3 linked regions of the Elephas maximus indicus genome follow. The protein of the gene in region 2 interacts with the protein of the main gene of each other region in a pairwise test. Links are inferred from orthologs where the notes say so. Each region holds a gene or a part of one and is shown on either strand. Other genes may lie near its edges. The genes, in order: SIRT6, VIM and YAE1.

Region 1 (3,747 bases), on a different chromosome or scaffold from region 2:
CTCTTACAGAGGGCAAGGAGCCCTGAGCCCTGAGGGGAGCCTCCATCCCAGGCCTCTCTCACCCCTTTCCTCTCCTACCTCCTGCAGCTCCAGTGCCCCAGCACCAGGCCACCGTGCAGGCTGCCGGCTCCAGTTGCCCACTCCCAGCCGGGCTGTGAGCTCACACCAGCCGCTCTGGGCACTAAGCTCTGACACTTGATCAGCTCTGAGCAGGCAGCTGCCCCAGGGGGCCGGGGATGAGCTGAGGGAGGAGACAGGCTGGCAGCGGGGCTGCCCGTTGATCGACGGGCTCTGGCGGGAAGATGCTCTCCTCCCATCATCACTGGACTGATTTCAGTTTCTGGAACCAGCCATGATCTTGCTGTCTTCCCAGCCTTTGCACTTGTCAGGAGTCCTCTGCCAGGAGTCCACTTTCTGAACCCCACGTCACCCCGAACTGGCTCACTCACTCCACCTCACGCTACTCACTCTTGAGGTCTTTGCTGCAACGTCATTCCCCTTCCAGGAAGCCCTCCCGGGACGCCCCCAGGCTGGGTGAAGTGCCACCTCCGAGCTCCTTCATTGCTCTGTGCCCTCGTCGTTCCCCGTAGCACCTCAACCACACTGTGACACCTTTGACTGGCCAGATGCTTGCGTCCATCACTAACAACGAGTAGGGAATCGTGTCTTCTTTGTTCTCCAGGGTCTGCCCAGAACACAGTAGGTGCTCAACATGGTACTCAAGGCCACCAGCCTCAACAACCTTGTGCAGTTTCACTCTCCTACCCTGCGTTTTGTAACTTTATAAACTTCTGAAATGTGCAGAAGAAAGATCCTTGGTGTAGAGAAGCAGGAGTCCTGGGTCCCTGCCCTCCTGGCTATGTCCTTACTGGGGGTGACAGGGACATCAGTTTACTCATTTATAAAACAAGGGAATGGGGTACTGATCGCTTATGCACTTCATTCTAGAAGAAACTGCAGAACTCTCACGTGAGCTGCCGCCCCAATCTTCGCAGCCCCTTAACCACCCCTGCGAGTTTGGACAGGGAACCGGGAATTCCTTCTGCCAGCAGTTAAGATGGCGCCTGCAGCCTCACGAACACGCGCATGCGCCTTGGAGGAAGACGCCGGGCCCGTAGAAAAAGAGCGCTGCCCCTCCTTCCGCCCCGCCCGCCCCATTTCCGGCGGAAGCGGCCTCAACAAGGGAAACTTTATTGTTCCCGTTGGATGAGCGAGGATGTCGGTGAATTACGCGGCGGGGCTGTCGCCGTATGCTGACAAGGGCAAATGCGGCCTCCCCGAGGTGAGCGCGGCCTGGGGCCCCGAAGTGCGCCCCCAGGGTCGCGGGCTGGGAGGGGCTGGCCAGCAGCGGGGCATTGTGGGAGTATCAGGAGGCACTGAGGTTAGACAATGGGAGGGACTTCCCAGTGAGGAGGGGGCGGGAAGTGACGACCCCTGCGCGCCCGGGGACACGAACACGCCCAGCTCTGGGTGGGCCAGGCTGGGACTGAGGTCGGGGAAGGCCTGAAGGCTGGTGGTGGAGGAGGGCACGCAGTTCTAGGCGGAGGGCACGTAGTTCCAGGGGGAGGGAATAGCCAGGGCGAAGGCAGGAATGTGGGATAAACACACTTGGAGAACAGAGTAGGGCAAAGAGATCTTCAGAGGCCGGCCAGGACGGGCCTCAAATGGCAGGCTGGGAAGTGTGATGGGGAAGGGTTTTGAGCTGGGGAGGTACCGACCGGGACAGATTGAGGAGGGTCCGAAAGATCCCTCCAGCCACTCTGGGAGGAAATGGAGTAACAGTCTGTGCCCACCACCTACTGAGGGACCTTAGGCGGGTCTCTTCCCTTATGGGCTTCCATCTCCCCTTCTGTAAGCTGAAGGACAACATGGTTCCCATCTCATAAAGGCTGGCCCATTCTTTTCTAATCATACGTTTAATAAACTCTCAGATGGTGTGAATCCCTTCCATTATTCATCTTATTCCACAAACATTTATTGTGCACCTACTGTGTACCAGAAGTCCCTGGGTGGTGCAAACTGTGAACATGCTCAGCTGCTCCCAAAAGATTAAAGGTTCGAGTCCACCCAGAGGCACCTCGGAAGAAAGGTCTGGTGACCTACTTCCAAAAAATAAGCCATCGAAAACCCTGTGGGGGCACAGTTTTACACTGATACACATGGGTCACCCTAAGTTGGAGTCGACTTGATGGCAACTGTGTACTAAGCACTTTGTAGGACACAGGACAGACAAAACCCTCTCATTCTACTGGGGGACACCGACAAGAAACAAATGAACGTAATAAGTCAGGTGGTGCTAAGAGCTATGGAGAAAAATTAATCTGGGAGAGCTGGGGGTGGAGGGAAAGGCGGCATTGAAACTGGGTAACCAGGGAGGCCTCATTGAGATGACATTTGAGCCAACACCTCAAGGAGGTGAGGGAGTGGTTGGCGTGATGATCTGAGGGAAGAGCACTCCAGGCAGAGGGAACAGCCTGGGCAAAGACCCTGAGGCAGGACCGTGCCTGGTGAGTTGGCCCTTGTGGCTGGAGCGGGATGAGTGAAGGGGAGAGCCGAGGAGGAGGGGAGGGCAGGGCGGGGACAGGGCAGGGAGGACTTTTACGGAATAAGGTGGGAGCCATGGTGGGCTACAGGCAGAGGAGGGACGCCAAGACAAGCTGTGCTTTCCAACCCTGTCTCCTCCCCCTGAGCATAGCACGTCAGTCCATCTGTGGCTCTTGGTCTCCATGCTTGTAGGGCGCGTTCCGACCCCACCCTCCCATTCTCTCCCAACAGATCTTCGACCCCCCAGAGGAGCTGGAGCGGAAGGTGTGGGCGCTGGCCCAGCTGCTCTGGGAGGCCTCCAATGTGGTCTTCCACACAGGCGCCGGCATCAGCACCTCCTCCGGTATCCCCGACTTCAGGTCTGTGTTCGGAGAGGGGAGGTTGAGGCAGGGCCCGCCACGGGCTTCCCTGTCAGCTCATAGATGCCTGGGCACCTGGACCCATCCCACTGATTGTCCCCTTCCTGGGTCCTGGGCCATCTGTCCCTGGGATGTTGGCAGGGTGTTGAGAGGTTGCCCTCTCCCTTTCGGACTTACCCTTTAAGTCAGGCCCAACATTCCACTTATACTTCATTGGCCGGATCTTGGCCACCTAACATTAGCCGCAAGGAATGCTGGGAAATGTAGTCTTTAGCCACCCATGTGGGGGCCAGCACTCGGCTGCTAACCAGAGGAAAGGTCCTGATTTGAACCCACCAGAGGCTCTGGGGGAGAAAAGACTTGGTGACCTGCTCCTCTAAAGATTACAGCCAAGAAAACCCTATGGGGAAGTCCTGTTGTCATCTAGGGTCACTATGAGTTGGAATCAACTTGATGGCACCCAACAATGTTACCATAGAGGAATCTTTGGGTGGCGCCTACAGTTACTGTGCTCAGCTGCTAACTGAAAGGTTTGCAGTTCAACTCCACCCAGAGGTGCCTTGGAAGAAAGGCCTGGCAATCTACTGAAAAATCAGCCACTGAAAACCCTATGGACAACTCGTACAGAAACTTAAATGGGAGCCTAAACTGCTGTGAAAACACAATAAAATATTATTTTTAAAAAAGCCCTATGGAACACAGTTCTCCTCTGACACACATGGGGTCACCATGGGTTACAGTCAACTCAAAGGCAACTGGTTTTATTGTCATAGAAGATGGGGGAGAATTGACATCAGGGAACAATTATCTACACACGCTTGCAGGTATTTTCTCATAGCACCTG
Region 2 (3,747 bases):
CGGGTGTGGTTTCATAGGGGGAGGGGGAAGAGTGAGAGGAGGCTGGAGTGAAGGGTGGGAGGGAACTTTTTAAGTAAAGCTATCACCAACTGCCCGGAGACCCGCAGTTGGCGACTCTCCAAGGTCTGCGGAAAGTTCCTTCTAAAAAGTGCGCACATTGGAACAAAATCACGATTTGGCGACTTCTTAAAAATAAAGGGTGCTCTTGGCTCCCCCACGGCTGGACCGTACACATCAAAGCGACCGCCGAGCTCTAAGTGGGGTAAGATTTAGAACAAAACACTGAGCGTGGGGCCCGCGGAGACTTAAGTCAACCTCGTCTAACGGTTTCCCTCGAACTGCTAGGCCCCCTAAACCTCTACCGGCCAGCAGGGCGCAGTGAGTCACCCTCAGTGACTCACAGACCCCGCCCCTCTTCCCTGGGCTTGTCTCGGCCACCGCCTCAGCCCCGGCCGTCCGAAGCCGGACGGAGTCCGTTAAGTCCCTGCACAGTACCCTCAAGACAAGACGAAGAAAAAAGACGAGGGTCCTAATTGTCCCCCCTTTCGAAGCGGGCAGCGCGCGAGGCTCCACAGGCCCAAGTCCTGCGTTCTCCGCTGCGCGCGACCCCACCCCACGCTCCAATTTCAGGCGCTCTTTGTTTCTTTCTCGCCGCCTCTGGATATGCTCGATCCTTTACTCCCCCTCTTCCTGCTCCTTTAGCCGAGGGTCTCTCCCCCCACCGGCTCCCAGTCTGCGCAGCCCTGTGTCCCAGCGCCCACCGCGCACCCCTCCCACCAGTGCGCCTCCTCCCACGTTCCTTTGGCGTGGTCCCCAGGACCCTTCTTATCCAGCCCGGGGCGCCTTCCCCAACCACCGCGCGACCCCCGCCTTTTTCGGCACCCAGGGGTGAGCAGACCTCCGGCAATTACGAGGAAAGCCCCCAAAGTCCTAGCCAAACTTAGCAAGTAACGGGACCGTGCCCAGTCCGGTGCTGCCAGGAGCCGGGAGGAGAAAGGCTTGAGGGCGCCCCCGCCCCAAACCCCCGCCCACTCCCCCCTCTTCTCGCCAGGTCCCCATTGGCTGGCGCGCTTCGCGGCTTGGATGGCAGTGGGAGGGGACCCTCTTTCCTAGCCGGGTTATAAAAACAGCGCCCTTGGCAGGGTCCCGTCCTCTGCCACTCTCGCTCCCGGGTCCCCGCGCCAGAGACGCAGGAGTGCTCCCACCGCACACCCACCGCGCCCTTGCTCGCCTCTCCTCCCGGAGCCAGTCCGCACAGCTGCAGCCGCCCAGCCCACCGCCACCCTCCGCAGCCATGTCCACCAGGTCCGTGTCCTCATCCTCCTACCGCCGGATGTTCGGCGGCCCCGGCACCGCAAGCCGGCCCAGCTCCAACCGGAGCTTCGTGACCACGTCCACCCGCACCTACAGCCTGGGCAGCGCGCTGCGGCCCAGCACCAGTCGCAGCCTCTATACCTCGTCCCCGGGCGGCGTGTTCGCCACGCGCTCCTCGGCTGTGCGCCTGCGGAGCAGCGTGCCCGGCGTGCGACTGCTGCAGGACTCGGTGGACTTCTCGCTGGCCGACGCCATCAACACTGAGTTCAAGAACACCCGTACCAACGAGAAGGTGGAGCTGCAGGAGCTCAATGACCGATTCGCCAACTACATCGACAAGGTGCGTTTCCTGGAGCAGCAGAACAAGATCCTGCTAGCCGAGCTCGAGCAGCTCAAAGGCCAGGGTAAGTCGCGCCTGGGAGACCTGTACGAGGAGGAGATGCGGGAGCTGCGTCGGCAGGTGGATCAGCTCACCAACGACAAGGCCCGCGTGGAGGTGGAGCGCGACAACCTGGCCGAGGACATCACGCGTCTCCGGGAGAAGTAAGGAGGAGCCCGGGCCACTTACGGGGGTTGGGGGGCGACGTCCGGGCAGGGCCGCGGGAAGAAGGGGGAGGGGAACGACGCCCTCCGAGGGGCTGCCACGCCCTTGGGGCGGTGGCGGCACGGGATTCCTAAACTCAGACCTTGCAGCTAGCATTTCCCCTTTGCACGCACTCATTGCCCAAGAACGCTCCGTTTCAGGCAACGGATTTCATAAAACTAAAAAAAAAAAAAAAAACCCACTTTGAAATTAAAGGCACTTGATAAAGATGAGAGTGGTTCGTCCAAACTTTTAAGAAAGTTTCCTGGCCCCTCCTGGCGGGCTGCCAGTAATGGGGCCGGAAGGAGGGAGGAGAGGATAGCTGTGGAGAACGCGAGACAAAGGATGGCCGTCTCCTCTGGGGCGGGAGTGGTGGCGTTTGCTTTGCAGGTCCTAGTGGCGACTGTGATTGCTTTTTCATGCTGCGGCCGAGGTCCCGCTAAAACTTGCCGAGGGCTGCAGTTCTACAAGGGCTGCAGTCGCTGGCTGCCGGCAGAGGCGGCTGTTGTCTCGTGGCGCAGCGACGTGGTGGTTGGGTGCGGCCGCCCTCCCCTGGCGGTTTCCCAGTTCCCCTTGGTTAATATGCAACTGTTTCAGGTTGCAGGAGGAGATGCTGCAGAGAGAGGAAGCCGAGAGCACCCTGCAATCTTTCAGACAGGTTTGTAGACTTCCTTCCCCTTCGTCGGCAGCGGAACCACCCAACCAACCCACTGGCGATTCTAAAAGTTACTTAGAACTTAAGTCCAAAGAGTGCAGAAGTTCACGTCTGTGCATACAGCCCCCTAGTGGTAGAAAGACCACAAATTGGAGCTTTTCCAGCTAAAAACCTTTGAGGGCTTTACCCTTTCTTTAGGACATAAATAAAGTCTTTAACTTTTTACTTTGTTTCAAGATTTTTTTCAAGGAAATAAAGACATTTCTTTCTTTCTTTTTTTTTTTTTTTTTGGGAACGCACTGACATTGTGATTTTGAACAGTTACAGTTTGATTTAGATTGTGGCTTGCTAAAGTTGGCCAACTTTTACAAGGCCACAAAAAGCGCAATTTATGCCCTGTAGTTTAAAAAGTAAAAGGTGTCGGAAGATGAGAAACTTAGTTTGACTGGCATGAAGCCAACAAGTTTCCTTTCTTTGCCAGTTCTATTGTGGCGGTAAAGTTAGGTGGAAGTATCGCTATGCACAACTATTTTGTGATCTAATAAGGGTGAAAAGGAGCCATCTGTCCTCTTGGCTGAAGGCTATTAATGGTTTCTATGGGATTCACTATGGAATGTAGATACAGACATTCTGCAAATGTGGTGGCTTTGGACGGAAATAATAGGAGTCTTTGTGTTCCCAGAGAAGCTTTGCAACAGGCTACATTCTTATTGAATATGTAATGATGTAAGCGCAGTTCTAATTGGACACAAGTATTTGCTAACATCGTGATCTCCGTTATCTAATACCTGGCCCAGCTTGTGAAGTATGTGATGTGAAAAGTTTTTAAAGCTACAGTCATACATCAGATTTTGAAAGGCCGTTATTGGCTTCTTATATTCTTTAGCACTGCCCACAAAAATAAAGAAGAAACCTAAGGCTGATGAATACAATTTTAAGTAAAGGATTTTTTTTTTCTCCAATGTTATAGTGGAAGGAATTTTAGCTTAAAATTAAAACCAAGACGATTTCCCAGCACAGTTTATTCTCCTGAACACTTACTGGAATTGGCTGTACAAGCACTCTAAGATGAATAGCCTAGGATGATATTTTGAAACTGAAATACATTTGCCAAATTAATTTCAGTGCACAGCAATGTGTGGTATTCATTGTAGTCATTGAGCATTTATGACCATACCTGTAATGTCTGCAGAGT
Region 3 (3,747 bases), on a different chromosome or scaffold from region 2:
TGTGAAAATGTTTTAAAAAATGGAATCAACTGACAAAAGATTCAGCAATAACCTTTTTACACTTATAAAAGATTAACTTAACTTGATTTTACGATGAACACTTGATCATATTCCTACTGTAGTAGCCTTTATAAATTCTGATTTCTGACAGTTTATTTTCCAAAATCCTAAACACAATGAATTTTTCTTGTTTTGATAACTTTTATTTTCAACCTGTTATTAGTGCTTCTTTGGAGCATTGTGTTTTTCTCTACTGAGGATAGTATAAAAGGTACAAAACATCAAAGAGGACAAGTCTGTCATGCTCCTGACTCCCTGTGTCATTTGACAAAGCCTTGGCTCTGATATATGCCATTGTTGCTATGGTATCTTGACAGGTATTCAATTACCAGAACTAAAGTAAATGGAGCCATTTTCTCTCTACTGCCATCTATAATTTTCATCATGTACTTCTAGTCTAGAGGTCTGTCACACTGTGTTCTGCCACTATGCGCCAAGACTAAAAGCTTATTCAAAACCTATAGATATTTTACTTTAGACATAGGTTGGTAGTAGTTTGGGTGGCAAAAATATATACCCTCCTACCATTTCTTTGCCAGAAAGGACCACACCTGGCTCATATCTTAAAGTAGATGAACTGATGATGTTTTTGACTCTTTGAGGCAATATTATGCTCTGCAGCTATGCTCTGCAGCATTCTTTTATGAGTTTAACACCAGGAAAAGCAATTCCGTTTAAATACTTCATTTTTACATACTACTTTCATAAACATTCTTCAGAACTATTACAGTTAAAATGATTCAAAACTTAAATTTTTAAAAGTACCTTAATGTTCCTCTGAGTTGTCCGTAGTTTATAATGACTTCTGCACCCTCCTTATAACCTTGATTGAAGCCCTGTTGAAGAGCAATTGCTTTGCCAGCATCTACTCCATCTCTGTAACCTTCCTAAATATAAGGAGGAAATGAAGAACTGTAGCTGCAACTAGTACTACAGGTAGGTTTTTCTAGAAAGGCCCAGAACTAATTTAGGAAATTGATGAAATGGGCCTTTACATTACTTAACATAATGGTTCCATAACATATGGCATAGCCACACAACCAAAGCAGCCTGTGCTTCCCATAGAAGTTTATTATTGGCTAATCTTTCTGGGGAGCCCTGGTGGCACAGTGGTTAAGCACTCAACTGCTAACTGAAAGGTTCAAACCCACCAGCTGCTCCAAAGGAGAAAGATATGGCAGTCTGCTTTTGTAAAGATTTACAGATTTGGAACCCTATGGGGGCAGTTCTACCCTTTCCTAGAGGGTCACCAGGAGTCAGAAACGACTGGATGGCAGCGGGTTTGGCTTTTGGTAATCTTTCTTTATCCCACTTTTGAAGTCTGGACTCACAGGGAAAATTTTAAAATACTGCTTCTTACACGGAGAATTACACATATGGCCCCTTGGCAGCAGCTCGGGTTGGTGGGTGAAGAAGCAGGGCAGTAAATGGGGTTGGGGAGGGTACCGAATAATTAAGTGAAGCAGGGAAAAAGAAGGGGAAGCTGGTTTCGGAAAACAAAGATGACACATCTGGTTCTAGAAATTCTGCTTCATATCTACATTCCAATAAACTGCAAACTTTTCGTGGGCATTTTCCACTAGTGCCATAGCAGTCAAACAAGGCTCAATATTTACTGCTTTAGCCTCAGCTTTACATAAACTATTTTTGCAATTGACAATATTGTTGCTGAGGTAAGCGAATATTACTTTACTGAAACACTACACAAGAGAGCAGACTTCCAACTGCAGCTTTAGGGACAATTTAATGGGGCAGTTCTACTCCGTCCTAAAGGGTCGCTATGAGTCGGAATCAACTCAACGGCAACGGGTTTGGTTTGGAATTACCCATTGACAATCCGTGGCCTTTACATTAAGTTCACCTTTTCCACAAAGTCTTGATTGACAGCACTCCTAATTTTAGGCTTCACACCCACCCAAGCACCCAAGTAAACTGTGCACATGCCCTTGACAGCAATAATTAGTACAGTCTGTTTACGTTTCTTTCCCACTTCATTCTCTGTAATCCTCATCAAACTGCAATCTCTTCAAAGTCTGGACAGTTTATTTTGGTCCGTCCCCAGCGTCAAACGCACCTTGTGGTCTGACACGCTTTCAAGAAACCCTTTGGGAAAGTCTAGCAAGATGCCGGCCGTGTTAGGTGGCAACGGGTAGGGAGGGCAGCGCCGGGCCAGGCTGGGGCCACTCTGCCTTCTACTCTCCGGACCAGTAATTCCACCATCCTCGCTCCCTCTCCCGGCAACCCGTCATCCCAGGAAACCCCCGCGTCCTACACCCAGCTTTACTTGGACTCGTCTGTGCATGTGGTTCCGCCATTCTCGCTGCACCAGAAGCGACTCGTCCGCCTCCTCATCAAACACATCCCCCTCGTCTCCAGGGCATCCGACCAAGCCAGCAGCTTGAACCCACGACATCACCGAGGCAACCAGGGGTCGCTCGGTACCGGAAGCACCGCAACTCCTTCCGGTCCGAGGGGGCGGGGCCCAGACGGCGAGTTGGGCTTTGGGCTGCGCGTGCGCGGCGGAGGTGTTCGGGTGTCTCGGCTGTGCGACCTTGTCTTATCTCTTCGTCGTGTATTGGAGCACCCTCAATTGACACAAAGGGTGGGTGCGTGGCGGTTGTGGGCAAGGCGGATTCCTTCCTTGCGAGGCCCGTGCGACCTTGGCGTCTGCGGAAGGCAGCCCCGGCTGTCAGTGAACATTCCCACCGTCGTCTCTACGGTGCCCTGAGTTTTCGAAGACGCGCGCATTGGTTAAAAACCTGCTAGGTAGTTAAATTGATTGGCAATTTAGCCAAAGACTCCGTTTAGAACCCCCCCACAGTGTGTTCGAATGGTTTTACAGCCCGGCATTTTTAACTGTTAGGAGCTTGGAGCAAAGAAGAATTAAATGGAAAAATTAGGTACAGCGACCGACTTGAGGCTAATAAGAGATATAAGGAGTATATTTGTAAAACGAATACATTTCTCACTGATTCACAGGGCCCTTCACTGGCTCCTGTTCTTCATCCACAAAGGAAACTGGGTGGCTTCGGGAAGCCAGGGACCAGTTTTATTAGCCTCGGCACACAGCACGGTGGTTCCCGCGCATAGTAGGTGTTCAAATAGACGTTTGTGAATGAATGGACACAGTAGCCTTCCGTTTTTTGTCCTTTGTGTAAGTGAAATGAGTCATGTGATAATGATTTATTTATCGACATATATTTCTGGAACACCCACTTTCTGCCCGGAACTGTTCTACGTTTTTGGGATATATTAATGAACAATATAGGCAAACGTTCCCAGCCTTCGTGGCCTTTTTATATTCATGTAGAATTGACGGATGATAAATAAGCAATATGAAAATAAGTTATATAGCTTGTTAGAAGATGATAAATGCTATGAAAAAAATTAAAAACAAGCAAAGTAACGGGAACCATGGGTGTGTGTGAGTGGGGCGCTGGTGATGCAAGTTACAACTTATGCAGAGAAAATTTTGCATCCCACAAATAAAGAATATTTATGTTTTTCTTGATATGTCCATGGAATACGTTTAAAAAACATTGTGTGCTCCCCCCTCCCCATAACCGAATAAAAAGAATAGTGATCTTACAGGTCAGACTCTCTGATCATAATCCAATAAAACTAATAATAAAAAATAAAAATGACCCCCAATAATTTTAACTATACTACCGGATATTAGAAACACCT

The links.
Region 1: the proteins of VIM (region 2) and SIRT6 interact in a two-hybrid assay, tested with the Homo sapiens proteins (2 studies listed by BioGRID and IntAct). The link is inferred for Elephas maximus indicus from reciprocal best matches to the Homo sapiens genes VIM and SIRT6.
Region 3: the proteins of VIM (region 2) and YAE1 interact in a two-hybrid assay, tested with the Homo sapiens proteins (2 studies listed by BioGRID and IntAct). The link is inferred for Elephas maximus indicus from reciprocal best matches to the Homo sapiens genes VIM and YAE1.

Annotation. Positions count from the first base shown.
Region 1 is NC_064821.1:7,230,878-7,234,624, reverse strand, and holds the start of SIRT6 (NAD-dependent protein deacylase sirtuin-6), read left to right. Parts: upstream 1-1,177; 5' UTR 1,178-1,216; coding exon 1,217-1,282; intron 1,283-2,775; coding exon 2,776-2,903; intron 2,904-3,747. UniProt on the Homo sapiens protein: NAD-dependent protein deacetylase, deacylase and mono-ADP-ribosyltransferase that plays an essential role in DNA damage repair, telomere maintenance, metabolic homeostasis, inflammation, tumorigenesis and aging.
Region 2 is NC_064822.1:39,613,732-39,617,478, reverse strand, and holds the start of VIM (vimentin), read left to right. Parts: upstream 1-1,138; 5' UTR 1,139-1,294; coding exon 1,295-1,857; intron 1,858-2,494; coding exon 2,495-2,555; intron 2,556-3,747. UniProt on the Homo sapiens protein: Vimentins are class-III intermediate filaments found in various non-epithelial cells, especially mesenchymal cells. Vimentin is attached to the nucleus, endoplasmic reticulum, and mitochondria, either laterally or terminally.
Region 3 is NC_064826.1:101,776,622-101,780,368, reverse strand, and holds the start of YAE1 (protein YAE1 homolog), read right to left. Parts: upstream 2,522-3,747; 5' UTR 2,474-2,521; coding exon 2,345-2,473; intron 948-2,344; coding exon 826-947; intron 1-825. UniProt on the Homo sapiens protein: The complex LTO1:YAE1 functions as a target specific adapter that probably recruits apo-ABCE1 to the cytosolic iron-sulfur protein assembly (CIA) complex machinery. May be required for biogenesis of the large ribosomal subunit and initiation of translation.